4 linked regions of the Lepisosteus oculatus genome follow. Each later gene encodes a partner of the first gene's protein in a complex. Links are inferred from orthologs where the notes say so. Each region holds a gene or a part of one and is shown in the gene's direction. Other genes may lie near its edges. The genes, in order: sf3b2, plrg1, sf3a2 and gpkow.

Region 1 (6,904 bases):
AGCGAGAGGGGGCGTCCGCAGAGGAGGGGTCCAACGGCAGCCCGAGTGAAGCAGAGACCCCGGACCGCCAGGAGGGGGGCCGCACGGACACAGGGGCGCCAGACGAGCAGGAAGATCCGGAGAGCGACGGAGAGGAAGAGGAGGAGGAAGAGGAGCGAGACAGCGAGGGGACAGACTCCGAAGACGGAATCGTCAGCTCCCCGCTGGGCGTCAGGTGCGAGCTCGGCCCGGACCACCCCGGGTTGCCCATTTCCCACTTTCCTCCCTACTATCTGTCAGAGGCAGCTAGCGCCCCCATCTGGTTCAGCACCGCCAGTGGCCCAGTGCCTCCTCCGCTCCCAGTCCACTCCGTGCCAGGTTTTCCCAGGAGTCGGCTCCCTGGTGTTGTTGGTGAATTGATTAATCCAACCATCCGTTTACCAATCGCTTTCCACACACGCACACACACCCACCAGGGCCAGTCCATCACAGGGCACGCACACACACACACACAAAAGGGCCAGTTTCCCAAAAGAAGCCAATTCACCTCCCAGCATGTCTGTAGACTGTGGCAGGAAACTGGAGCACCTGGAGGAAACCCACTGAAGCCCAGAGAGAACATGCAAGCTCAACACAGCTCCAGAATCGAACCCAGGGCCGCCCTCATTCATAAATCAATTACACAATTAAGACCCTGAGCCACGGCCCCTGTACTGTGGGGCATCCGGGTTTCGCGATCCCCTGCCCGTGTCCAGCTGTTGACCTTTCGGTGGGTCGATGTTGTGTTTTTCCTGAGAGGCGTGCAGGTCAAGCAGCAGGGATATGACCTGGGAAGATCCTGCTGGGCCAGGGGCAGAGAGCTCCTGCCCCCGGCCGGATCCACAGCTCACCTGGGCTCTTCTCCACCACAGCAGGGCGGCGCCAGAGAGCAGCGAGGGCCGCCGGGAGACGGGCGCGGACGCCGGCGGCCTGACGGGTGGGTCCCTCACGGCCACGGATTGATGAGATTGATGCGATTGATGAGATTGATGACTTGATTGATTGATGACTGATGATTGATGATTGATGACCGAAGATTGATGATTGATGACATGATCTACCGATGCCGTCTGGAAGTGTGAGGGTGCAGGTGCACTGAAAATGTTAACAATCTAAAACAACCTTTAATGCCACCTGTTTTTAAAGATCGACCTCGCGGTGAACAATTAAACCCCTGATTGGTCAAATTAACCAATTTAGGGATTATTGAGGACTGAGGACCTACGTCCTCTTCAGTCCTCAAGGACTGCGGTTCTCTTAATGGAATAAACCACTGGCTTGGCCATCAGGAGCTGACAGGCGTGTCCAAACTCTAGAAACAGGGGGACCTGTAGGACACACTGGGCTGGGGCTCCCCAGGAACAGGGCTGGAGACCCCTGATTCAGGGGGACCTGTAGGACACACTGGGCTGGGGCTCCCCAGGAATAGGGCTGGAGACCCCTGATTCAGGGGGACCTGTAGGACACACTGGGCTGGGGCTCCCCAGGACCAGGGCTGGAGACCCCTGATTTAAAAAAAAACAAGAATATTCACCACCAATGAGAAACCCTTTGGATCTTGTCCAGCTGTTTCTTCGACGACATGGCTGGGTAGCACTGTGTGTAACGTAGTCACTCCTGTTGTGATCCCAGGATCTCTGCTTCCTGTAAGAAGCCCGGGCATCGTCTTCAACACAAGACACAGGAGGAGGGGGAGAGGGCGGGCTGGGCCGTCCTGCTAGGTCTCTCCTTAGCAAAATAGCGTCCTTGCACTGAGCTGGTTGCTCTGTTTGTCACCCGACCCAGGGTCTGTGGTCAACTCCGAGGGCATCGCGGGTCAGCAGGGGAGCTCCGAGGAGGAGGAGGAAGAGGAGGAGGAGGAGGAGGAGGTGGGTGGGGGCGCCTCCAACGACATCAAGAGCAAAGGGGACGACGACGACGACGACGACGACAATGATGATGATGATGATGATGATGATGAAGATGACAGCGATGAGATCGAAGCTCTCCTGGCTCCGCAGGAAGATCCCAAAACGTCTTCTGGTCAGACGTGAGTGTCCTTCCAGCGACAGTCCACCTCCACGTCCACCAGCCTCTCGCTTCCACTGGCACTGGTGTGTCAAGTGTGTGTTAAAAGCGATGTTAGAATGAGGATTTACGTGCAGAATTCAGTTCCAGAGATCCTTCTGTGTGGAGTCTGTATGCCCCCCCCCCTCCCTGATCGTTCCCGCCAGCGCCCGCCTCAGTATCCGGGCGAATGAGCTCATCGAGGCAGCTCAGAGTCACTGACAGGGGCTTTCTCCTGGCAGAGCCGAGGAAGAGGAGGAGAGCCGCTCCGGGAGGAAGGAGGGGTGCCCGCCGCCTGTCCCTGCCGCAGAGGAGCGCCCCGGGGGCACGCCGGACAGGTGCGCGTGCGCTGGGGCTGGGGGTCTGACCGCACAGGAACGCCCTCTCCCGATCGAATCCGTCTGAAAGGCCACGGGCCATTTCAAGAGGTGTCTGCAGTCTGGGGAGGGGGGCCCCGCCAGCCCTGGTTTTGGGGAGACAGGTGTCTTGTGTCTCTCTCACAGATGGGGGTGCTGTAGCTCACAGTAACGGGGAGCTGCCAGGTCCCACCAGCACCAGGGAATGAGAGGCAAGTGAACACCTGTTCACCACCATCCACATGTACCATGTTTTACCCTGATCTCACTGGGCTCTACTGCGCTGTACTGTGTTTTTACCCCTATCTCACCGGGCTCTACTGCGCTGTACTGCGTTTTTACCCTGATCTCACTGGGCTCCACTGCGCTGTACAGTGCTTTTACCCTGATCTCACTGGGCTCCACTGCGCTGTACTGTGCTTTTACCCTGATCTCACTGGGCTCTACTGCGCTGTACTGTGCTTTTACCCTGGTCTCACTGGGCTCTACTGCGCTGTACTGTGCTTTTACCCTGATCTCACTGGGCTCTACTGCGCTGTACTGTGCTTTTACCCTGGTCTCACTGGGCTCTACTGCGCTGTACTGTGCTTTTACCCTGATCTCACTGGGCTCTACTGCGCTGTACTGTGCTTTTACCCTGGTCTCACTGGGCTCTACTGCGCTGTACAGAGGACCACAGTGAAGTTCCTGAAGTCAGTCAGTAGAATGATCTCTAAGGGATGTTTCTTTCTCTTGCACTTTCAGGGTGAATCACAGCGGCACTCTCACTGCCCAGGGCAAAGGTCAGTTCTGCTCAGTGGTAGCTTGCTCTTCCCCCCGAATGAGCCCTAGCTGTCCGCCCTGGCTGGTCAGTGACCGTGTGTCCGTCTCCTGCAGCGCTCCGGAGGGGCTCCGCGGACAGCAGCGATCCGGGAACCGAGGCTCCCGGTACCCCGAAGCCCGGCTCCGCGCCCCCGGAAGTGCCCGACGAGTTTGACGATTTTTTCGACTGAGAGAGAGGTGGAGAACACTGCCGCAGCACCCCGAAACGGGTCGGTCCTGGTCCTGGGGAGGCCGCCAGGAGCAGATGGTCCAGGACAGGACCGGACCAGACAGACCCTGCGGGGGCTCTGGAATGAGGAAGGGTCAAGCTGTTCAGAATAAACATCTGTCCACAAAAACTGCTTCAGTCAGATCCTTCGTTAGTTAATCAGCAAGATGGATGTATAGAACTGCGGTTGGGTGTTTCTGTGCATTGATGCTGTGTGTCAGTGTGTGAGGCCGTGCTGTGTGCGCGTCAGCATGTCTATGTGTCAGTGTGCGTGTATGTGTGTCAGCGTGTGTGCGACAGCGTGTCGCCGGGTGTTAAAAGATGCTTGTGACAGTCCCATTCTTCATCAGTGTGTCCGTGTGCTAAAAGATTATAACATATTTATCAGTATTACAAATCTCTAGGTTTTTTTGGGGGGTCGCTTTCATGTAGGTAGAAGAACTGCATTTGATCTGTTCGGAAAGTGACTCGGTTTTGTGGCCGCCTGCTAGAACTACAAATCCCACAAAGCCGCAGGACCGCCGTTTCCGGTCGCAGTTCCCATGATCCTCTGAGAGCGCTCGTTTGGTTTCCGTTCCTGCCTCGCTTGTTGTTTCTGTGATCCAGCCATGGCGACTGATGTACCGCCCGGCACCGAGCAAGCTCCGCCGGACCTCGGCAGCTCCGTTGCTGCCCTGAACACATGGAGCGTCCAGGAGCTTCAAGCCAAGCTAGCTGAGATTGGCGCCCCCACAATGGGTAAGTGTAAAGCGCGGGCTCCGTGGAGGGAGGGAAAAGGCCGAGGCCTTGCGCCGAAGCCTCGGGCTCGAGTGGTCAGTCCACCCGAGCAGGCCGGCCCCAGTGGCGGTGGGCGGGCGTCTGGGGAACCCGGCGTTCAGGTTGCTCGGTTCATTTCTGTGGCGTACCCTGTATCTTGTACAGAACCGCCAGAAACACCTCATTTCATTCAGGTTTGGCGCCGCGGAGTCTCCCGGTGAGCCTTTAGTTCATGAAAGGGGGCTGTGATATAAGATTGCTTTTAAAGAAATTGCTTTCGTTAGTTGCTTTAAACACCGGAGGCTTAACAGACCATCCGTTGATCATCTCTGTAGCTATTTATATATATTTTACGAGTCCTGCAGTTTCCCAGCTCAGCTGCAGAGCCAAGTGAACCCCAGACCTCGGCCCTGCAGTTTCCCAGCTCAGGTGAACCCCAGACCTCAGCCCTGCAGTTTCCCAGCTCAGGTGAACCCCAGACCTCAGCCCTGCAGTTTCCCAGCTCAGGTGAACCCCAGACCTCAGTCCTGCAGTTTCCCAGCTCAGGTGAACCCCAGACCTCAGTCCTGCAGTTTCCCGGCTCAGGTGAACCCCAGACCTCAGTCCTGCAGTTTCCCGGCTCAGGTGAACCCCAGACCTCAGCCCTGCAGTTACCCGGCTCAGCCCCAGAGCCAGTAGAAACCCAGGTCTCAGTGCATTACATACTCTATCAGAATTTAGGATTTGTTACTTAGACAGAACCAGTACACTCTCTCAGTCAGCCTGGCGGAATTGGGGGTACTTGTGGTTATCTTGTGCTGTGGCTGGGTCTTTGCTCAGTGACAGTTCTGAAGTCTGGACTGATGTTGTCTCTGTCCTCAGGCCCCAGAGAGGAGATGATTGACAGACTGAAGGCCTATGCGATGCAGGTGAGTATGTTCTGTCAGAAGTGATTGATACAGTGACCTGTCTCTCTCTCTCAGTTCAATTCAAGATGCTTTGTTGGCATGACCAATGAATACATCCGTGCTGCCAAAGCAAATACAATTAACATAAAATCTATGGATGTTTTCAGGAATTTCACAATACAGACCCATCTAAATAGTTACATGCAAACATCTGGAGCATTACTGGAAGACAGGCTAACTGTTCCTCAGGCTGGGACAGGAGGTCACACACTGTATTATTATTGAGAGACAGGCTCACTGTCTGTTCCTCGGGCTGGGACAGGAGATCACACACTGTATTATTATTATTATTGAGAGACAGGCTCACTGTCTGTTCCTCAGGCTGGGACAGATCACACACTGTATTATTATTATTATTGAGAGACAGGCTCACTGTCTGTTCCTCAGGCTGGGACAGGAGATCACACACTGTAGTATTATTATTATTATTATTATTATTATTATTATTATTATTGAGAGACAGGCTCACTGTTCCTCAGGCTGGGACAGGAGATCACATACTGGGCTACCAGTTCAACTGAGTTCCCTCCTCCCTCTCCCAGTAGGATTGGAAGCTATTGTGATTCTGGTAGGTGTAGGAACTCTGGGATTAGATTTGTAAATTTCTGGAAGAATGTTTCTCTAATCCCGGAGTATCTGTCACAGTGCAGTAGGAAGTGCACCTCTGTCGGTGTGGCTTGGGTCAGGGAGCCTCAGGACCAGCTGGCTCAGGGGGCTCTGTTTTGGGCTCAGCTCTTGGCTCAGCCGGGGTTTGTGGTGGTAGGAGTTTTGATTGGTGTTTTTTAGGTGTAGTCAATACTTTAATACTCTTTACTGTATGTTTATCAATAGTGGGTACTGTCTTAATTCGGCCCTGCACCCGTTGTTAGGTTTCTACAGATCTCCATGTGCAGAGTTTTTGTGGGGTGTTTGTCCCATTGAGTGTACTCCTGGTCTGTGAGGGGACCCCACACTTCACTGCTGTATAGGGCAGTGGGTTGGATTACACTTTGAAATATTTGGAGCCAGATTCTTGTTGGTGGGTTGGTGTTGAAGAGCCTCCTTCTTATTGCGTAGAAAGCCCTGAGTGCCTTCTCCCTCAGTGCCTTCACTGCCAGGTCAAAACTCCCGGAAGAGCTGATAGTCAGACCGAGGTGTGTGTAGCTGGATGTGTGCTTCAGTGTGTTGTTGTTGAGTGAGAAGTGGTTCTTGTTTCCCTGAGGCCTGGCTTTCTTGTGAAAAACCATGACTCTGGTCTTGTCCAGATTGACTGTTAGTGCCCAGGTCTGACAGTCCTGCTCCAGCAGTGCCAGGCTCTGCTGTTCTGGGTCTAGATGGGCTGGCAGTGCCCAGGTCTGACAGTCCTGCTCCAGCAGTGCCAGGCTCTGCTGTTCTGGGTCCAGATGGGCTGGCAGTGCCCAGGTCTGACAGTCCTGCTCCAGCAGCGCCAGGCTCTGCTGCAGCCCCTCCCCCTGACGTTGTGTCTGCCGTTCCAGACGGGGATGATGCTGACCAAGCCCACGCTGCAGGCCGGTGACGGAGATGTGGTGGCCCCCCTGCCGGCCCAGGTGAGTGTGCCCAGGGTGCGGGAGGGACCCAAGCAGGGAATTTTTAAGCGACTCCCCGATAATAATGTTGCCCTTTCTGCCCCCCCCCCACAGATGCCCGGCCTGCCCATGCCCCCCATGCCTCTCCCCCTGCCCCCTCCCCCTCCCCCGGGGATGTTCCCGGCCCTGGGGATGATGGGGGTGCCCCCGCCCCCTGGCCTGCGC
Region 2 (7,535 bases), on another chromosome or scaffold:
AAAAGGTTGAAAGTAAGACATTTGAGTATTACATTGTACCCAAACATTTTTTTAAGTACAGCAAAGGATTTAAATGGTTAATGTTGGTTTCATGAAGCAACAAAGGATAAAGAATGTACTTTGCTTGACCAAACATTGCCTAAAACAACCAGCCCTGAGGTATGCAAGCACATCACAACCTGATGTCAAGGATGAACACATGAAAGTTAAACAACACTGCATTCTGTTTGTTTAAGTTTGGTATAATTCTGAAATACCTTCTCTGGCAACAGTTAGCTTTTTGCCTTTATCAAAAGATACTTAGCATTTTAACACAATAAAGCAGTAATTTATTTCTTTAACAAATGGATAATGATGCCAAATCTGTGTGTCTGTAAAAGTCTTTTTGTAGTATGCCAACTATCTTATAAGCCAATAATTACTTGATGCCTTATCTAATGACTTTCAAACAATGCAGATGGGATGGAGAGTATTTACTGTACCTACTGTAAATACAGTAATGACAGCCTATACTTCCTTCATTGTTAGAGTTTTACATACAGTATATTCAATACAAACAATGCATTTTATGACAGGTTGGCACTGTGCATCACAAAAAGAATCAACATAGATCTGATGTATCTACCAGTTCTAATATAATTGCACTTGAATTTCATTTTCATATATATGTACTTCAACATTTTTAAGAATAATGTATATAGGCTAATTGTATCTTGAAAAAAAATGTACATTTTAAACCTTTGGTGGCTTTACTCATTAGATGGAATGACAGCACCATTTCCTGTTTTGTTATGCAGTATATACAATAAACATATAATATTTTTATACTGTTTTTCTTCACGTCATATCAGCAGGAAAACATGGGCCTTCTATGACAGCTACGTAGGTACTTGATGTTCAATTCTTTCATTTTGTTTACTTAATATTTCAGAAATATTGTGCAAGCATACATCCAGTCGGTTAATCACAGTGGACTTATTTGTCTGCCAAACTCCCACACAGAATCTAAACATTTAAATCATGCTGTTTTTATGATTACTATTTTGAAATAAAAATGTAATGAGCACATGGCTTTTAGTACTCAGTATCATAGGAATTTAGTTAGATAGTGAAATTAACTAAATGAAACTAAATGAAAATGAAAAACAACGGTAATTGAGAAATATTTGTCCACCTACTATAGGCTTAATTATCGCATTAACAGAAAAGCAAATAGGTGCATTGATACCATGATTGTCAAGTTATTTGATCCTGTTCAGATCCTACACAGGAGAGCTTTCAGTCTATTTATTTTTTATATATAAAACCCAGACTCTAAACAACAAAATAATAACAAAATGATATCTCATAGCTACCACACACCAAAGTGACTGCATGTACAGTATGGATCTTTTTTCTAATCATAAAAAATGACTTGCATTTTTATAACACTTCTCATTCCAGATTATCTCAGCATTACATTTAGGACATTGCAAGTTGAATTTTTTAAAATTTCAGCAATCAATTATCTTACTGTTATTTTACTATTTCTATAGTGCCATTTCATATTAAGCACTACAGTATATGAGAGCCTTTTAAAAAGTTACATTACAATGTGACTCATTGTATGCTTAAAATACAAGGATAAAATACAATTTTTATTAAAGTTAATCAGCTAAATGAACAAGCTAATGTATTCCAACTTCAGCCAAATGTTTCTAGGACAAAAAGAGGTGACAGATTTAAACAACATTAAATTTAAGAACTGAGAATGGCATTAAAAAAAGAAGGGACAATTATAAGTGGAAGGCAGTCTAGAGAACAAAGGTCATCTTGGCTTGGATTACTGGAGCCTTTTCTTCAAGGGAAAGCAAAAACAACAGGTTTTTCCCAATGCAGATTTCAACAAAGAGAGGTCAGGCATCAATTTTATCATGAAAAGGGGAGAGTTTTGAAATTACATGTAGTCTTGGGTAGACACTGGACTCCTGTACATGAAAGGTGAGTCAAGAAACAAACATCTTTACTGAAACTTCTTCCCTGACAGGCATAAGTAAAAACAGACCTTTTTTGTTTAAAGTGACGATTTATATCGTCCCTCATGACTTGTTTTGTGTTATATTCTTTCAAACCTTCTGCTATCTTAAGTGTAGGTAGCCGTTCACTTTACAAACTATTCATCCTTTATGGAAATGGTTTTAAAACAACACATACAGTGTAGCTATTTCAGTCATTTTGCTTTGCATCACTGAATGCATTCTTCTGCAGTTTTGTCCCCTTCTTCTTGCCTACAACAGCACCCTCCTAGCTCATCTCAAGTCTACTACCACCTCCCAGTGGTCTTTCATCCAAGATGATGGCTTTCTTACAAAGCCATCTCTCACAACCTTTCAGTGTATTCAATAGAATCTTCACATAGTAGCACAAAACAGAAAGGCCCTTCTAGTACAATTATAGAAAAGCCTATGGCAATGGCTACATTTGATGCTGTATTTGTTCAAATGCTTCTGATGCTGAGTAGAGGCATCTTATATGGCAGCATGGACTCCCCTCCACCACTACCAATGTGCAGCATTCACCTGGATGATGCGACGGCAGCCATAGTGCGCCAGAACGCTCACCACACATCAGCTATCAGTGGGGAGGAGAGCAGAGTAATGAAGCCAATTCATCGAAGGGGATTATAAGGAGGCCATGATTGGTAAAGGCCAATGGGAAATTTGGCCAGGAATGCCGGGGTTACACCCCTACTGTTTTCGAGAAACGCCCTGGGATTTTTAATGACCACAGAGAGTCAGGACCTTGGTTTTACGTCTCATCCGAAGGACGGATGAGACGGATGAGACTCTATATGTAATACCTCACATATAGAGTCAGCCACTATCAGTACCTGCCTTTACTGAAGGAATGGGCTCCTGGATGTCCAGGGGCATAACATTTTCCTATGTGTCCTTTGTTTTCCTGCGGTCTGTCTCCAATAAGGCCTTGAAATGGCTGAACTCCAAAAGCTCTGAGGATGCCACCCCTATGGGGTGTGTCTGTCGTTTCCTCTGACTGCTGCCTCTCATCACCCAGTTATCTCCCTTTTTTATGTTTCAAGCCTGCCTACTCATGGCATGCACACAATCTCCCTGTAGGACACTTCAACTATTGCCTGCAAAACCTGTGTTGCATTGGGGATCAGAGAGCTGAGTTTCACTTCCTTCATACTGTATGTCTAGACAGTTGTTTCCATCAACTGTCTTGTTATCTCTACCACAATATTCTCTATACAGTCATAAATGTTATCATTATATTAGAGTGTACTCTTAAACATTGTAATACTATAGTAAAAACAATATAATCCATTGGCTAAAGGAAAAATTCACTGTTATTATTGCATGCTAGAGACTTTGCAGTAGCAATATAGGCACAAATTTATCAGCTACTGTATAATGGTCAACACATAAAATGAAGAGATTAGAGGGTGAGTTGTGTCAGTGTGAAAGCTGCAAAGGAACAAGCAAAGTCTATTTCCATAGTGAAAACTAAACATAAAGAATAAACACATTTTGGATGTTGATAATTTTTTATACTCTACTTGCCACATCTAAAAGCTCCACAGCCTTTTTTCATACTTACTGTAAATGCATGTATTTATTAATATGTGAGCTATGAAATGTATGATAAATGTGAAATCCCTACACAATGTTTTATCAATTCTCAAATCGTTACTATTATGCGTTGTTAAAAAAAAAACAGTAGAAACATATTTGTATGTTTACTTCAGTTGGTTTATTTTTAGTAAATAGTTTTAATTCTCCATTGTCCAAAACCTTGGTCTCCAATACTGTCCCGGAGAGCCCCAATTGAAAACATTTCAGTACCTATAAGGTATTTTCCAAAGGCTTGGAAAACATCTGTGAATAATTATTCAGGTGACTCGTTAAATTCTGTATTGTAGAGTCCACATGAAACAAAATTCTAAGTACTGTACATTCTAGACCTCAGCTAGGACCAGGGTTACTTTTATTGAATAAATTACTTTCTTGATTGACCAATCTGTTCACAAGCCTCAGAAAAGTGTGACTTACAGTGATCTACAGAATTTAGGGGACTGGACCAGGGTCTAAGATGCTTCTGCTAGAGCGTTTGGTGGTTCAGTGTAATTGTAAGCAATCGTAATTTCTTGTATTTTATAGCATTTATTGCCCATGTTTATAATGATGGATAATTTTTTAATTATTTTAATTATAACTATATATTTGGTATATTTTTAGAAGTTCTGTGGACATTTTTTGCTCTTAAAAACTACTGTATAACATCGGTATATACGTTATTGTAACAATGAAAATTGCACCACAAAATCAAATGTAGAATACATATTAATATTCAATTAATGGCAACATTTACTGTATGTATGTACTGTAACACTCTTAACGAATATATTTTTGGCCTCCGCTACAGTAGAAGTCGCTATAGTACCACTCAGTAGGAGTGTGTCGATCTCCTAACAGTCGAGATTTGATTATCCCCGGAAGCGGAAATGAACGCAGACTTTCCTTCCTCCTGTATTCATATTGTGTGCGCGCTGTTATTTGTTGGTGGTACGTTTTCGAATAGTTAAAAAAAATATATTTAAAAAAGTAATCGAGTGAAAAGGATTTGTCTTCAGCTATGGTGGAGGTAATTAATTGTTTATATTCTTTCTCGTTTTGTTCTATGTTTTGATTTTTCAAAAGGAAAATATGTTTGAACTTTGAAATGAAATGTATTGTATAGGCCAGTATAATGCATACGCTTCTTTCTTTTGTTTTAAAAGGTACGAATTAAAGGTTATATAAATTAGAGACTATAGATCAGTTGTTTTGTTGTAGAATCTTAAGTAATTAACATCTTCTGTAGTAGTTAAGATTTGATTATGGTTATGTTTTCCCCCCTCTGGTGTCTTACTATGGTGTTTTAGTTGTGTGTGATTGCTCGATAAATACGAAATAATTGGCTGAAGCGGAATCTGAAGGTCGTAAAACGGGTCTTAGTATGGATGTATGCGTCTGAATAGCGATACGTTTATTTAAGATTTTCAGTCAGTTTTCATTGATGTACTTATTTGTAAATATAAATCAGTATGTCAGTCTACTTGGGTAGAGAGAAGACTCTTAAGAACATAAAAGGTTACAACATTTTCTAGTTAGACGTTTACTTATCCACGTATATCATCCCGCGGTTTCTTGAAAGACTCCAAGGGTATCGGCTTCAGCAGCGGCGTTGAGTAGCTGGCTCTGTGTGCCCCTTGCCTCTTCTTCTGCATTTTAAACGCTTGTTTTTAATTGTACTAATTTTGTTACATCTTCTCCTTGTTAATTTTTTCTCTTATGGTAAAGCCCTTTGATAAGTTCCTTTTAAAGAAACTGTCTAAAATAAAGTTTATTATGATTGTTCCATACTCCCCCAACCCTCTTTGTAAAGAAGTGCCCCACTTTTTTTTCACTCACTTTCACGGAGTTTCCACCCGTGTCCTCTGGTGTTTCAATATTAATTTTGAAGAAATAATCTGGGTTGGTTTAGCAGTGACGTTTTCGGAAGAGGATTTTGAATGCTTGCATCTAGTATTTTATCAAATTAATTAGATGACAATTGGGGTGATATGTGATCCAGGCTTGACGTTTTGACCCACATGTGCAGCACATTGTAAAAACATTATTCTTCCACCTCAGAAATATTGCCACACTATGTCCTATGGTGTTGCTAACTCTTGCTGACAAGCTGGTCGTCACTTTCGTTTTCAAGTTGGTTAACCCAAATTGATTACTGTCTTGCCCTACTCGCCAGTGTCTAAATCCACATTGAAAAAATTATTATATGTTCAGAATTCAACAGTATCTGTTGTATGCTCTCATTTTATTTATTTTTTCTGTAAGGTGCTTTGTGAAGCCACAAAGTCACTATAAAATAAAGGCATTTAAAGGCACTACATAAAATAGTTTCTTGCTATTAACTAGTTAGTGTGGTTAAAACAATTCAATAGATTTTCAAGAACCTATATTCAGGCTGTGGTGTTTATTAATATACTGAATTGTAGCTGTTATTCCAGAAATGTTTTACAATCATGCCTGCCCTATAATATCTTCTAGGAGGTACAGAAGCACTCTGTGCACACACTGGTGTTCAGATCTCTCAAGCGCACTCATGATATGTTCGTGGCTGATCATGCGAAGCCCATTGATATGGATGAAGAAAGGTGAGGTTTTAAATGTATTAATAGATACTATTTGTAGTATTGCTACATCTTGAAAACTTATAAGATCTGTCAAATCCAACTTTACAGTTTTCACTTTCCAGTGGATTTCAGTGGTATTCTTGTTGTTTGTGGTGGCTGATATCCTAAGACTTGTTGAGCTTTGTCAGCATTGTAATGTGAAGAAAAACTACAGTAAATCCTTCAAAGCGTGTGACCCTCTACATCAGGACCACACCAGGGACTCCACTACACTAGTTTGATTTAACCAGCTCTTGGAATTGCTTTATTAATCATAATACTAATAATTTAGCGATGAAGTAATGATCTGGTGGTAGCACAGTTTGGTATTGGAGTGGAATGTAGAGCCTATAGGTTGTGTAGCCCTGCTCAAGATTGTAGGTATCTCATATCTTACATGAGGTGTGTTTAAAAATAAGATTGTATTACTTGTGTGCTGTGCTCTCTTAAATTTTTAGTAGTAAAGTAAAATCAGAAACTGGGAGCAGAAAATAATTATGCTTTAGGTACTGGTATAGCTGTTTTCATATCTGGAATTTTGAAGTTGTCCTTGTTTGAAGATCTTTAAGTAAGGAATAAGAATTATTATACATTATGCTTAGAAAAATATACAAGAATACTAAGCATGTAACTTGATACATAAAATGGTCTCATCCATAAAATGGATCTCCAGTCCATTTCATGTAGGGCTGGTGTGCTTGCAGGGTTTCCATGTCTCTTTAATGCTCCAGCACCTGAATAAAAGCTGGGAACATCTGTTAACATGTCCAGATAAGTCACAAATGATATGTTAAAGGTTAAAACGAAAAACTTGTGAACAAGATTGGGGACAGCTGTTTTTTTTTTACTTGAGTCCGCAACTGAGTGCAACTTTTTAATGGTGTTTTCAAGCCCATCTAATTCATTTTGTTATAAAGCTTTGTACTGAGTTGCTCACATTTCACCTAATGCTATCTTATGTCAGCCACAAGGTCAAGATGGCCGTCAAGTTGCGTACGGAGTACAGTGCTGTGCTGCACATGCCAGTTTTCAAAGAGGGCAAAGACAAGGGCTCCCTCCAGATCTCTGACCCCTATGGCCAACAGAACTTCTCTGCAAACCCTGGTAAGTGTCTCAGGTTACAGGCATTTCTTCAAAGGTTTTTATTTTGTTTTTGTGTTGTCTTGTTGTTCTTGTTTTGTTGAGTTAAGCCAGTTATATTGCAGAAACATTGAGAGAACAATGACCGGATATAAATAATAAGAAAAAAAGAATCTGAGCACCTTTTCATTTGACTTTTTTCAGGGCATGATCCAGAGTATCTTATTACTGGAACTCA
Region 3 (7,009 bases), on another chromosome or scaffold:
AGTCACGCAGGTGTAACCAGCTCTGGTCCTAAAAGACTGTAACCAGAACCTTCATGGTTTCACTCCGAGTTCTTAAATTATTTTTATAAGTGGTCAAAAAACTAAACAAAACAGCAGTTAAGAATGGCTGCATCCAGAAATTGGCAATTTAAAAACTAAATCTTGCATGACAACAGAATTTCAGAACCAAGGAGTTCCCTCCTCCTTTCTAGAAACAGGACACAACGTAGTTCACACAAAACTAACACGCTAAACCCACACACATTAACAGCTGCATCCAGAGGAGTTACATGTGCACAGAAATACTGACACTTTATCAATACAGCCTTTTAGATTTTAAAGGTACCTGGAAAGAAAATGCTAAAGAAAATAAATGTCTACAGAATTTGCTTAAAAAAATAGACTTTGTATGCACTTATGTACACAACTGCAAATCTGGGTGCAATCAAACTCTACTTAAACAAGCGTTTTGTTTTTTTTTCAGAGGGAAGTAGTTACCCGACTTAAAAACGTCAGGTTGTCTCCAAACACTGAAACTATTTAGAGAGGGCCCCCCTCAAGCAAAGATATCAAACTATCACAGTGACATAGGCCTCATGTAAGAGCCTAGAAATCCACTGCTCTCTCCACAAAACACTGGCAGAGTACAGAAGCCTCATTCCAGACACCTCAGAAATGAGCATCACATTTTAGAAAACATGCACACAGGTTGTGATCTTATACATCAAGTCCAGTGCAGAAGCACTAGAAGATTATATAACAAGGCTTTCAGGATCAAGACCCAATTGCCAACTTCAACTTCAATTCAGACAAATGTTTAGCATGCACATTTGATCCAATTTTTGCTTTCGTGACCCAGGTCTCTCAGAAAGATCCTGTGAAAGCGGTCTTCACAGTGCAGACGATTGGAAAGGTCAGTTCTCTCTCGGTGGGGTGGACGTGGTAACTGTGCTCTCGGGTGTGTGGTTACAGTGGGGTAGCAGGTGTGAAGAACAGCCCCGTGTGGCTGTAGGGGAGGTGGGGTGTGGTGTCCCCGCTGTTAGGTCGCCTTGTCGCTGGCTTTCAGGGAGCTGTTAACCTGGAAACGAGCCTCATCCGATATCCCATACTGCTCCAGGGGATCCTGGGAGAGACATAGAGCTTAATGACTGACTGACAGGACACTCGAGTACATTAACACTGCACTGAGAGAGAGGGGGGCTAATACAGACACACTGACTGGACACTCCAGTACATTAACACTGCACTGAGAGAGAGGGGTTAATACAGACACACTGACTGGACACTCCAGTACATTAACACTGCACTGAGAGAGAGGGGTTAATACAGACACACTGACTGGACACTCCAGTACATCAACACTGCACTGAGCAGATGTATCTCACCTTCCCTGTGATTCTCTGAATCTCGGTGCGGTAGAAGATCAGGCTCTTCCTCATGGACTCATAGCTGTGGGAGACGCCACACAGGGAAACATCACACAGACATGCGCCAAGAAGTCTGAACACTCTCAGAACCCACCACAGCTCCCACTGGGACAAACGGGACGGATCGACAGACAGACCTGGCTCGGATAATGGAGTCCATCCAATCCTGGCACTGCTCCTGAGAGTCACACTCAAACAGGTACTTCCGCTCCGACTCGTCCAGGAAGGCTGCGGACACCGGAGAGGAATGGTCCCAATCAGGAAGACAATGCCCAGGCACTGGACTGGACTGGACTGGACTGGACTGGACTGGACTGGACTACAGGTCTGCACAGGTCTTACCAGTCTTGATCTGGACTTAACCCTCAACTCCACTAGAGTGTACACAGAGCCCTGGACTGGAATGGAGTGGGTTGTACTGGACCAGACTGGAATGGAATAGACTAGGTGGTATTGGGCCAGACTAGAACAGACTGGAATGTGTTGGACCAGACTGGAATGGACTGGGTTGTTCTGGACCAGAGCAGACTGGAATAGACCGGGTTCTATTGAACAAGACCAGAGTAAACTGGTGTGTGTTGGACCAGACTGGAATGAACTGGGTGTATTGGACCAGACCGGACTGGAATGGGATCCGGGCCCAGAGCCCCAAACGCCCACGAGACTCACTGATGGAGAAGGCCTGGCTGTCTTCTCTCTCCACCCGGCACTGTTCCAGCAGCAGGGCTCCCAGAGGCTGGAGAGAGATGGACAGTCGGACACAGAGCCGTCACACCGAGCCCTCACCGTCTCCCCCGGGTGCCCCCGCCCCTGCGCCCCCACCCTTACCTCTTCCTCATCTGTGCGGAAGTAGAACAGGAAATTCACCACCAGCTTTACCAGCCTCTTCTTCATGACTGTGGGACACAGACGGGGGGGGGGGGGGTGGGGGAGAGAGAGAGAGATCAGCCATTGCTCCGAGCAGCACTCCCCGCACTCGCACGGTACAGCTCGTCCCACAGACCCCACAGCGCGCGGCTCATCGGAGGAGACCGGCTCCAGCAGGGCCCCGACCTCGTGAGCAACAAGAACCAGAACCAGCAGGCTGGACCCGAGAATCCCGATCAGAACCAGCGCAATGTCCCTCTACTGCAAGATGCTTGCTGGGCTCCGGCTAAGGTCTTAGCTCTTACAGGTGACCAAGGGGCGTCGCCCAACGCCAGTATCGCCAAGTTAGGTGTCCATGGCCATGTCTCAAGATGTGACCCGCGGGCTGGAGCCAGGCGGACTGGACCAGACCGGTTTCCCCTGGCAACTGTGACCTCCTCCTCCTCCTTCTCTCTCTCTCTGGCCTGTCCTTCTGCTGGTCCACCATTCCAGCGAGCTTCACTAGCACAACCGATGGGTTACAGTGCCACCAAACATGACAATTAACACAACAGCTTGGCCATTTCACATATGACACAGGCTCGCTGTGTGTCACACACACACACACCAGGCTGCAGCTCGATTGCATTGGCTCCCCAGCAGGATCGGGAGCTGTTCTGGGTCTGGTAGGTGTGGGAATGCTGGGCTGAGATTAGTCACTGTGGGGAAGGATGTTTGTCTGTCTGATCAGGGCAGCAGAAAGCACGTCTCCGTCTCTGTTCTTCTCCCTCACTTTTTCTGTTCCTCTCCCACAGGGCCAGACGGGGGGGCAGCGGCTATAAATAACTGCGATAAGACAGCAGACGGGCGCTTCCTTAAAAAATAGCTCCCTTTCTGTGCCAGAAAGAGAAAACAATGGTGTGTATCTCGGGGGGCCGCAGACTCTGAGAAAGCATCTCCGAGCTGCAGACCTCCTGGAAACATTTTACACATCGTAATTCCTTCCATCTTCATACCCTTCCCTCGGCAAGGTTACGGTTTTAGCCTGGATTTTTTTTTTTGTAAGATAAAACAAAGAGACTAAACAGTCTAGCTGGGAAAACAAATGCGAAGACAAGAAGCACACCGGTTAGTAGAAATGAGCCTCATGTCCGGTTAGGTGAAACCGGTCCAGTTAGAGGACAGAAAGAGACAGAGCGCCGAGTCCCAGTTATAAGCAAACACCGTTTCATGAGTACAGCTGCGACCTAACGGATAAGGACAGGCGACAGCAGGGCAGGGAGACGAAGACAGACAGGGAAGTGGACACGGAAAAGACACGCGTGGAGCGGCAGGGAGAAGGGAGGGGAGGGAGAGCCCCGTGTGCCCGTCCGTACCGTCGCCTCTCTTGGGTCCTCGCATGCCCAGCTGGGCCGCCCTCTCGGAGGGCTGGCGGCTGAGCGACACCAGCTCCCTCTCGTTAAACCGCATTCCTCCTCCTCCTCCTCCGCCGCCGCGCCGCTACCGCCGGCCTGGCATCGCCCCGGGAAACCGGCGACCGCCGTCCGCTCCGGCTGCCACACGCACGCACACACCCACCCGGATCTCGGCGATCCCTGTCCCACTCGGGACAGCCGGACTCGCGTTACCAGGCGACGGGGTCTTGCGCGTTTCTCTCCGCAGCTTCTCACACCTGCCCACCGCTCCGCCCTGCGAGTCTAGCGGCCTCACAGGCAGACAGACCCCGGGGTCACGGTTTTCCACCGCCGGACCGGACCCTCCCCTGCGACACAGCTGCGCTCCGCACCCGGAAACGGTGGTCAGCGGTGAGGGTTTTCCGCGTTAAATACCAGCCATAGTAAAATACAGACTACGTCTTAATAGTCTCGTCCACTCGTGGCTAATTTTTCGTAGTGGCTGCCGTAGTCTTATTTTTCTCTTTTTTTATTCTTAATAAATGTGTAAACCAATTGCTATTGTATTCACTCCGTCCTTAATTCGCATTAAGAAAAAACTACAAATCCCAGATTGCCAAACGCTTTCTACGGTCGTGTTTGCGTGGCAGGATTTCTGGGACATGTAGTCAATTTTAAATGTCATGTGACAAATGTGATCTTGAACACGTTTTTGGTGCAATTATTTTTAAAACATACACAACTGGACAGTTTCTGAAATGACAGGTTTTGTATTTGAAAAATTGTCCGAATATGCCGCATTAACAAAATTAAATGAAGAGTTATTTTGAATTACTGGTCATGTCACAGCGAAGAGATTGTTAATAAAGTTTGGTTTCCCTGCGCATGTACTGTTTGACCGGAAGTTACAAGCGTGTGTTGTTGGTAAGGTAGTCGTTCGAAATGTTACTTATAATGTCTACAATACTTGTTTTAAAAATGAAATTAATACATTTTTACAACTGTAAATGTATGTGAATAGTTTGGGTGCTTGTACATGCTATTTAAGGTTTGCTAAGTTTGGTAGCTTTTAAGATAAATTTGTTTCTAGATTCGGGACACCTCGTTGTTACTTTTTAAAAATAACATTTCACTGTGAGATTTGTAATTATCTAATAAGGGAGTGTTCTTACAATGTAACCTTTGTTTTAGGAATTATAAAATTACTTCATTTTAACAAATAAGATATTAACAAATCCTCTCTGTAATCAATATTAGCGCCCTTCGATCTTCACGTAACTATTTGTGACCTTTCCGGTTTAAAAATTATTCAGTGACCGAAACGTCTGCGTGTAATGTTTTAGATTAAGTGTGAGAAAGGCATCGACTTTAAACTGTTTGTCCACGGTTTTTAATTAATTACGGTACGTTACAGATGTATTAAGTTGCGTTATCCATTAATTACTCGTTAATCACTACTTGTTGGTGTTCTGGCGGGGCTGTGCAGCTCCTTCTCAAACCCCCGATAGTTCACCATTAAATCGCGGGTTTCTGAAGCTTATGAAGTTTCTTAGTGATAAGATAAGCATCTGCTGGTTCTCTGGTTCCAACGATCCTCTGTTTTGAAGTTCAGAGCCCTGAACGTTAACCGCGGATTAAAACGCTGCTGTAAATGTGGATTAAACTTTAATTCAATGTATTTATAGGCCCGATCGTCAAGTCATCGTCTGTCGTCCTCCAGTCCTGCGCCAGTGGCCAGTGGAGAGCTGTGGAAAGCGAGCAGAGGAACTGCCCCCAGCTCTGCCGGAGGTCCCTGTTGTGGGGAAAGTTTTCCCACAGCCGTGTTTATTGTGAGTTCACCTTGTCCGTTTTTCAGGAGGTGTCTTTTTTTTTTTCAGCAGCCATATCACCCTGCGGCTCCCAGCTGGCAGCCCCACTGGAGCCCAGCAGGTGTGAGCCTGGCCAGTACCTGGAGGGGAGACTCCTGGGAAAGCTGAGGCTGCTGCTGGAAGAGGTGTTAGTGGGACAAGTAGGCCCTAATGCATCCCTCAGATGAGAAGTAAAACCGAGGTTCCGACTGTGGTCATTAAAAATCCCATCACATTTTTCAAAAAGAAAAATGTTACCCCAGTGTCCCGGCTAAATTCCCCCCTGGCCTTTACCCATCATGGCCTCCTGATAATCCCCCTCTCTGAACTGGCTTCATCACTCTGCTCTCCTCCCCACTGAGAGCTGGTGTGTGGGGAGCGGACTGGCGCATCACCCAGGTGGGGGTACACACTGGTGGTGGTGGAGGGGATCCCCATGACCTGTAAAGCGCTTTGAGTGGAGTGTCCAGAAAAGCGCTATAGAAGTGCAATGAGTGATTATTATTTTTCCTGAGTGGGGCGCCGCGGGGTCCCATCTGTGTGGTGGGTTGTTGTTGTTGTTGTTGTTGTTGGTGGTGCTGGACTGGTGGAGCAGTGAGAGTCTGACCAGTGTCTCCCCCCACCCCACCCCCCCAGGGCCCGGTGTTTTACCCGCGGCCGAGCGAGAGAGAGCGTGTCCCTGAGCCCGCGCGCCCGCCAGGATGGATTTCCAGCACCGGCCGGGGGGGAAGACGGGGAGCGGGGGGGTCGCCTCGGCGTCGGAGAGCAACCGGGACCGGCGCGAGCGCCTGCGGCAGCTGGCCCTGGAGACCATCGACATCAACAAGGACCCCTACTTCATGAAGAACCACCTGGGCTCCTACGAGTGCAAACTGTGCCTGACGCTGCACAACAACGAGGTGAGCGGGCGACCTGCGAGCACAGCGCCCCCCGCTGTCCCGGCCTGGGGTTAACGCCGCTGCCTCGCTGTGCTTTGTTTTTCAGGGTAGCTACCTGGCGCACACGCAAGGGAAGAAGCATCAGACCAACCTGTGAGTGGAGCTCATGTTCTTTGGTTGTGTGTGTGTGGAGCTGTCAAAGCGTCCGTCTCCTTCAGCCCGTCTCTTTCACTCTGACCCGTCTCGGCTGCTGTCTGCCTGCGTCTGTACGTCTGCGTGCCTGTGTCCTGCAGACCCTGCTCTGACCTGTCTGTCTCTCTGACCTGTGTTAGTGTGAGTGTCGGCTTGGCTCACTGTCTGTTTACTTGCCTGTGCGTCTCTCTGTCTCTGCCTTTTTGTCTGAGTGATCATGTCTCTCTGGCCCTGCCTGTATCTGCTGTGGGTCACCCTGTCTCTCTGGCCCTGCCTGTGGGTGACCCTGTCTCTCTGCCTGTGGGTGACCCTGTCTCTCTGGCCCTGCCTGTGGGTGACCCTGTCTCTCTGGCCCTGCCTGTGGGTGACCCTGTCTCTCTGGCCCTGCCTGTATCTACTTGTGGGTGACCCTGTCTCTCTGGCCC
Region 4 (7,431 bases), on another chromosome or scaffold:
GAGAGCGGTACGACCATCCAATCACTCCATCATCACTGGTGGTTCAAATTCAATGTTTGATGGCCAGATCTTTCCAGGTTCAAGTAGGCTGGTCACTTTGCAAACGGCTAAGGCTCATTCAAGATTCGGGGTTCAGTCTGTAACCTCTGGACTGCAGGGATTCATCCTGGACTGGTACCCCCTGTGACCTCCAGTCTGCAGGAGCTCATTCTGGACTGGTACCCCCTGTGACCTCCAGTCTGCAGGGGATCATCCTGGACTTGTACCCCCTGTGACCTCCAGTCTGCAGGGGCTCATCCTGGACTGGTACCCCCTGTGACCTCCAGTCTGCAGGGGCTCATCCTGGACTGGTACCCCCTGTGATCTCCAGTCTGCAGGGGATCGTCCTGGACTGGACTGGAAACCAGTCCTGTAATGGATGATGAGGAGTCAGGCAGGGCCCCCTCTTCCCACTTCGCAGGAGAGACTCAGTGGAGCCAGGCTGTAATCTGAGCGTGCCGTATCCGGGGCTGTGCTGACACAGACAGGACGGGACAGCAAGGTGACCCGAACAGTGCAGAGTCCCGGTCTACACTCGATATCCCCCGATCCCATCCCCACCTTCAGGTTGATTCTGTGTCAAACACTGCCCACCTTCCAGATCCACGCTTTTTCTTCTTCTTCTTCTTCTTCTTCGTCTTATTATTATTATTATTATTATTATTATTATTATTATAGTGCAACACTGTACAAGCCTGGACACAGAAGCGACTATCTTCTTAACGGAGTTTTAAAGCAGCACAGCCAATGTTTCGAGCCAGTGTCCTCTTTGGTGTGAAAGGCACAGCGAGTGGCACCAGTGTGACATCCCGCTGAGACAATCGGATCGCTGTGAAGCCATCTGGAGGATAAAAACTTTCTCAGAGTCTTGTCTCCAGCAGCACCCCTGACAACACGGGTCTGCCACGAGCTCTGAGAGCTGACCAGCCCGAAGAGGCGAATCTCGCGCTCAACAAAAACCTTTTTTTGAAAAATATACAGTATATACTGTATATAAAAATAAAAACAGACACATATAAACACAGAGGGGAAAAAAAAGTTCCTCTGATGATGATGATGATTTTACACAAGTATATGTATGAAATTAAAAAATAAATGAATTGGTTTTGATTTCCGGTCCGGTCTGGCTAATGCAATGAGGCCCGGCTGAATTAAAATCAGATCCGTCTATTTTCTGACCACGTCTATTAATTCAGGGTCGCAGGGGAGCTGGGGCACAAGGCAGGGTACACCCTGGACGGGACGCCAGTCCATCACAGGGCAGACAGACATAGACACACACGCACTCTTACCAGCACCCATCAGCCAACCAGCATGTGTTTGGACTGTGGGAGGAAACCCACACAAACACGGGGAGAACATGCAGACTCCACACAGACAGCACCCCAGGTCTGAAATTGGACTCAGGGCCCGAGTGCTACAATGCAGCAAAGCTGACCCCTGCGCCACCGAATTAAAATTATTTTAAAGAAATACAATGAAATACTCTAGTACTGTTTCTAGTGCTACTGCCAGTGCAGAACCAATAAGAACACTGCAGAGTCCCCCAAAACAGGACAATTTAACCAGCTTTTCATAAATCACTTCCGCACCTCAGTGGTACAAATACAGCATCAGACATCTGCACGAGATCCTGCCAAACCTGCACAAGCCCAAGGTGCCCCAGGCAGCCCTGTGTCTGTGTCAGCTCCTCGTTGAGGCTGGTGCTGTGTATCAGTGGTACTGTCTCGGTATCAGGGCAGCGTGTTTAATGAAGGGGAGGACTCTGGGCGGTCTCCGATGATCCTGATGGAAGTGACAAGAGCTCAAAAAAGACAAACGTCAAGCGCCTGCCCCCCTTAAACCAGCAATAGCAGAGTCCCCCAGAGATCCGAGTCAAACCAATGTGGGTGCACTGCACCACACACACGTCCAGGAGACGCTACCCAATGGGCACAGCGAGCAGGCCATGGGTCTGGGATCAGGCGACCGCTGTCTGTCCTCATCACACACAGCCTCATTAGGGATCTGTGGGAGGCAGCGGGGCTGAGCTGGGGACAGTCAAAAAGAAAGGCTAGCAGCCAGTCCAGTTTTTTTTTTTCCCCATCAGGAAGAACACCACCATGTCGGGCGGTCATGAGTCAACCTGTATAAAGGGGGACACATGGGTTCCAATCTCCACATAAGTTTAGATCCCTGTCAGGAAAACACCGGGAACACCTCTGATCGACCCATCACTTGTCTGGAAGAACGACCTGCTTTCTCTTGGAAATCCTACTAGGCAACCCACTGAGCTAGAAACACGCTGAGCCTACCCCATGAGCACCTCGAAAAAGATCATTTTCAATGCTTAATAAACGTCACTTTCAGTTTTTCAGACTAGAGGATCGCTCTTCATTTACGCAGGTTTCTGTCCGTGGCAGTTAATGATTCAACATCCACCGTGTTGTAAAACCACCTCATAAAACACGGTATGGCTCTGGGTAATCGGTAATCGCAGATGCAACACTGTCTCCCTGTACTGTCAGGCAAACGGGCTCAGCTGTGGCTCGTTTAAATAGCTTTCAGGGTGGCCCGGCGGAAACAAAAGCATTATCCGGTCACCACGGACGGTAAATTAAAAACATATCGCAGTATAGGAGGTACCACACCTTGGTGTACCCCGATAAATACCGTTTTACTGACAGATGTGTACAGAGCTACACTCCCCTTTTCGTTAATGTGACAAACCCTAGTGCTGGTCTGTCTCCTTACTAGTAAATGAGCCGGGAAATCTGCGGAGTTAATTACAGTGTAGCTACCCCGTCCTTTTCCACGGTTTATTACGGCTAAATTGTGTTGTTGTTGTTTTTTTTCAACGCGGCATTGGTAACGAGCCCGGGTCCTCAGTTAAGGGAAGCAGTGAGATTTGACACACAGAAATACACCAATCGTCTTGACAGTAGAGGGTAGAAAAAAAAACGCCGAATGCTAATGACTTGGGATGTTTTTATTTTTTATCAGAGAATTTGAGATACGACGAATCTCCTCACAACCTCACACAGATCAGACGCCACACACACCAGATTGCGAAAAAAAAACATAATCGCTGCGTTCGTGAAAAAAAAAAATGAAACTGAACACGGTATTATTCTTCCAAACTGACTATTTCACACACTCCAGCGGACACACCGCATTACGTTATTAGCAAGACATCCTCGTAGACGTATACATGACAGATCCGTGTAGGAAATTTACTCATCCTTACGACACAGGCGTGTGAAATGCACGACCACATCGTGTATGTTGTATACGGCAAGCCGACAAAATCAAACACTTGCGTTAAAAAAACCCACTCCGCCTCGGCAACTGTCCTGGCCCGTCTCACACGTCGGACAGGCTTGTATAAGCGGTTTGGGCGCCCAAACGAAAGGCAGTTTATCCAAATAAATAAATAACACGTCCATATATTAATATTCTACTGTACATCGACCTGACCCGAGCGGTTGACCCCGATCAGTAACGCAGCGGGTCCCTATCGGGGATGAGACTAAATGGATTATTTTTAACCCCCCGTCCCTCTCTCCCTCTGTTTGTGTGTGTTGATTTATTTAAAAAAAAACACAGGCCGTGTATATAACAGTGGATTATTACTATATAATATTAATTTCACACTTGGAAGTCGCGGACAGCCGACGACCCGCTCTTTTCCCAACGGCGGAGCGCGAGACGCGTGACTGAATTTGGGGGGGGGGGGCGGTCGAAACAAACGCGTCCGTTTGACATAATTCGTTTAACAAATCGGTCCCCGTCCCCGTATAAAAAACAAAAACAAAACATCTTTATCGTCACCCCGCTATGAGAAAATGACAACAAATAATGTCGGTAAGAAGAAATCAAAAAATATCTTTAACAAAAAAAAAAACCTTACCTTCATCGTTCCTGCGCCTTCACAACCTATTCCCTCGTCTCGGTTCCGTACTTCTCCAGATATTACTTAAATATTCACATTCACATGCGGCTGTGATGCTCCTTAGCGCCGTTTTTGTATCATAATGATCATGCTCGGATTAGACACGGGCGGCGGTGCTACTGTTTTGAGAGAAAGGTGTTCACTCTCCTGCTCCTGCGGCAGGTCGCCATGCCTGAGACGGGCGATAGGACACAGGTCAGAAATTGCATTACATTTCATTACAGTCTACAATAAACAGCGGCGGCGATAATGAGAGAAACAGAAGAAGAGGAAAAAACGGAGACCCGCCTGTACGGGCAAGGGATTGGACGAGGCTGGTGTACTGTATGTGTGCTGGCTCTGTGTGTGTGTGTACAGATCTACAACCGCACCGCTTCGCTTTAAAATCTCTTGCCTCCAAACACGTCCAATTAATCCCCGTCCAGTGATAACGGTGGGCAGCGGGAGAGGGAACCAAGGAGCTCGGCTTTTAAATGAACACACACACACAAAAAAAACCCAAAACTTTTATTTTTTACAGTACAGAACAGCGATAAAACCGACACAATGAATGCGAGGGGGGGAACTGAAGGTCAAACGCGCTTGTAACGAAGAATAAATTCATACATTCAAGACAAACGACGCCAGTACGTGTTCTTGACCTGACCTACATAAAGCGATAATAAAAATATTATCCTCATTTGTATACCTACTAATTTCCGCCGCATGCCTTAGTGAATATTTTTTCGTACTCTGGCAAATTGGGGCCTGTTTTCTCTTTTAATTCATTAAATCAAACCTTCAAAATATAATAATGTGGGCATAGTTGAATTATTTCGGGTATTTCGCTTGTTATTCTATAAGCAGATGCGTTAAGCGACAGATAAAAAAAAACTGTGCTTCAAAAAGGCAACATGACTATGGAGCTGTGCGTTTATTTTCTAAATACAATATATGACAAAAATATATAATGACTGTAACTGTAATCGTTTTAAACTGAAACGATTCTGTTTCCAGTAGACTGGAAATAGTCAGCGCTAAGAAAAATCCAACAACCTGGTTAGTCTCCATAGTGATAGTCTGCTGTGACCTTGCGTGACCCGAAAAACTAAGGCTGCATTGTAGGAGTTGTAGTCCCTGGTGTCGATAACGTTCATTACCGTGCACGCCTGAGCAGGATGAAAAGGACTACATTCGCCAGGGGCACCCGCGAGCTGGCTGCCGGCTTGTCGCGGCTCGGGACCCGAGGAGGAAGAAATGGCGGACCCCGACAAACTACGAAGTGATGCCGGCGAGAAACACGGGGAAGTCGGAAATGGGAGCAAAAAAAGGGAGGCCGCCGCCGGCCCCGTGTCTTTTGGCTTCAGCAAAACCGTCAGCAAGTTCAGAGTTCAGAGCTCCGCCGAAAAAGTGGAGGAGAAAGACTACCTGACCGGTGTAGAAGGAAAGGAGTTAAAGAGGTATGGCCGAGAGTAGCGCTCTACATAGGGTACCGGGGTCTCAAAGACTTTCAAAACTTAACCTCGGGGTGCAAAATTTATTGTAGTGTTGAAGTGTAGTAATTTCGCTTTTTGTTTCTTTCTGGTTGTATGTCTTGCCTCTCTTGTGTTGACTTGATTCGGGGTGTTCTGGTGTCTTTTCCTGCCTGCTTTTGACTCTGCATCTCGGTGCGCTTGGGTTCGGGCGTGTCGTCTGCGCTTCTGCGTCCAGCACCAGACCAGCGGAGAAGCCCAAGGAGCTGGTCATCCCGCTGATCCACAAGAACCGGTGGTACAAGGGCGAAGGGGCCAGCAGGACGGCCAGCGAGACCTGTCCGCAGCCGCCCAGGGAGGAGGATGCTGTGGAGTCGCAGGCCGTCAAGGAGCTGATTGAGGGTACGTGCATCAGGCTCTCCCGGCGTAGCCCACTGGACCGTTTCGGGTTTCACCAGCTTCAAGGCTGTTGCGCGCGTAAACACAGCTGGGCGGCACGGTAGCAGTTCCGGGGTCCTGGGTTAATTCCTGCAGGCTGTCTGTGTGGAGTTTGCACGTTCTTCCACGTTCATGTGGGCTTCCTCTGGATGCTCCAGTTTTTGGAGTCCAGTTTTCTGGGAAAATTGGTCCTGGTGTGGGTGTGTGTGTACGGCAGTGTTTTTGTGCCCTGCCATGGACTGGCATGCCGTCCAGGGTGTAACCCACCGTGCGCCTGTTGCTTCCTGGGATGATACCCACCTCCCCCGGACTTGAATCGGACGAAACAGTTGGAAAATGGATTGATGGGTGAATGCTCTAGTTTGTGTTTCGGTGTTCATCCTGTTGAAGTCCACTGGGTTGACTCTGTCAATGCCTTTGAAGATTTTGAATACTTTAATAGGGTCCCCTGGTAGTCTCTGTTCAAGACTACAAGAAAAACTGCACTTCCTTTAACCTCTCAGTGTAGTAAGTTGGTACAATTCACTCCACCAGTAACCAGCCAGTGCACAAGAACCCACTGCTTGTTCGAAGACTGAAGTTGCTCCGTCAGCTGAGCACCAATCTTGTTTCTGTCCCCTGCTGTTCTTCGGGTTATTCTCCTCCCAGTTCTCCTGTTACACCCTGATCTTCTTCTTCCCTGACCGCTGCTAGAACTCCTCATTTGATGTTATCATTAAAGTGCTTTCTTTCCAAGGGGCATTGCTGGGAACTTAAAATGCATGGTAAACTGTCAGCCTAATTTTAATAGTCTGTTAATATATAAATGCGTGCATCTGGTAGCATTAACAGAAACCTGTTTAGAAGAGATTCAAAGAGGTTTCTTACAACCATTGTTTTAGTTTCTTTAATTACTCCTGTTGAATGGAAAAGCATTATGTGTCACTGTCTCACGGACACCATGTTTGTGAAGGGATGTGCTCTTCTTTAAATAAAATGACGCATCCAGGCTGTTATTGGAATCTTTTACTAAAATGTTTTTTTTTTATGGTGATTTATAAAAGCACTTTAATCCTGTAGCTGCCTGGGTCTCTCCAGAGTTACACCATTTTGCAGTTAGTGTAGGAATGGAAAGATTTCCACTGCACTGACGTTGGTCTGAGTTGCTAATCTGAGTTTTACGAGCTCCAGGCTCTGCTATGTAAACCAACACCAGCCAGCCTGGCCTGCACCTCCCCGGTCCTGAAACGAACGAGGCTCCTGTCCAGTGGGAGAGTCTTATTGTCTTATTTCCACCCCGTCTTATTGTCTCTCTCTCTCCTCAGAGTCCCAGCGGCAGCAGGAGTTGTGGAAAAATGGCGGAGCGGCTGACCTGAACCTGTCCATCCCGCTGCTGATGCAGAACAAGGCTCCCGAGGGCTACGAGGACGGAGACAAGATCCAAGTGGACCTGCGGCCCGAGTCTGTGAGTCGCCGCCCCAGCCCCTGCTTCACAGAGCAGAACCAACTAACTCAGCATTTGATAACCATTAAAAATATTGTCATTCCTGGGGACTGTCATTCTCTGAGTTTCCCACAAATTGATTTATCCTC

The links.
Region 2: sf3b2 (region 1) and plrg1 share a complex: the UniProt entries of both Homo sapiens proteins name them as parts of the minor spliceosome. The link is inferred for Lepisosteus oculatus from reciprocal best matches to the Homo sapiens genes SF3B2 and PLRG1.
Region 3: sf3b2 (region 1) and sf3a2 share a complex: the UniProt entries of both Homo sapiens proteins name them as parts of the 17S U2 SnRNP complex. The link is inferred for Lepisosteus oculatus from reciprocal best matches to the Homo sapiens genes SF3B2 and SF3A2.
Region 4: sf3b2 (region 1) and gpkow share a complex: the UniProt entries of both Homo sapiens proteins name them as parts of the minor spliceosome. The link is inferred for Lepisosteus oculatus from reciprocal best matches to the Homo sapiens genes SF3B2 and GPKOW.

What each region holds. Positions count from the first base shown.
Region 1 is NC_090713.1:22,562,859-22,569,762, forward strand, and holds the start of sf3b2 (splicing factor 3B subunit 2), read left to right. Parts: upstream 1-3,887; 5' UTR 3,888-4,058; coding exon 4,059-4,188; intron 4,189-5,067; coding exon 5,068-5,114; intron 5,115-6,628; coding exon 6,629-6,700; intron 6,701-6,793; coding exon 6,794-6,904. Other genes in the region: collagen alpha-1(I) chain-like, read left to right, coding at 1-214, 786-955, 1,804-2,047, 2,307-2,402, 3,165-3,202, 3,297-3,412. UniProt on the Homo sapiens protein: Component of the 17S U2 SnRNP complex of the spliceosome, a large ribonucleoprotein complex that removes introns from transcribed pre-mRNAs.
Region 2 is NC_090696.1:24,676,265-24,683,799, forward strand, and holds the start of plrg1 (pleiotropic regulator 1), read left to right. Parts: upstream 1-4,519; 5' UTR 4,520-4,635; coding exon 4,636-4,644; intron 4,645-6,092; coding exon 6,093-6,199; intron 6,200-7,181; coding exon 7,182-7,321; intron 7,322-7,501; coding exon 7,502-7,535. UniProt on the Homo sapiens protein: Involved in pre-mRNA splicing as component of the spliceosome. Component of the PRP19-CDC5L complex that forms an integral part of the spliceosome and is required for activating pre-mRNA splicing.
Region 3 is NC_090724.1:8,582,243-8,589,251, forward strand, and holds the start of sf3a2 (splicing factor 3A subunit 2), read left to right. Parts: upstream 1-3,988; 5' UTR 3,989-4,078; intron 4,079-4,513; exon of another isoform or gene 4,514-4,591; intron 4,592-5,352; 5' UTR 5,353-5,496; intron 5,497-6,150; 5' UTR 6,151-6,215; coding exon 6,216-6,413; intron 6,414-6,498; coding exon 6,499-6,545; intron 6,546-7,009. Other genes in the region: plekhj1 (pleckstrin homology domain-containing family J member 1), read right to left, coding at 1,040-1,123, 1,386-1,449, 1,565-1,655, 2,097-2,163, 2,256-2,323, 3,650-3,743. UniProt on the Homo sapiens protein: Component of the 17S U2 SnRNP complex of the spliceosome, a large ribonucleoprotein complex that removes introns from transcribed pre-mRNAs.
Region 4 is NC_090697.1:75,065,425-75,072,855, forward strand, and holds the start of gpkow (G-patch domain and KOW motifs-containing protein), read left to right. Parts: upstream 1-4,415; 5' UTR 4,416-5,206; coding exon 5,207-5,409; intron 5,410-5,659; coding exon 5,660-5,823; intron 5,824-7,163; coding exon 7,164-7,303; intron 7,304-7,431. UniProt on the Homo sapiens protein: RNA-binding protein involved in pre-mRNA splicing. As a component of the minor spliceosome, involved in the splicing of U12-type introns in pre-mRNAs.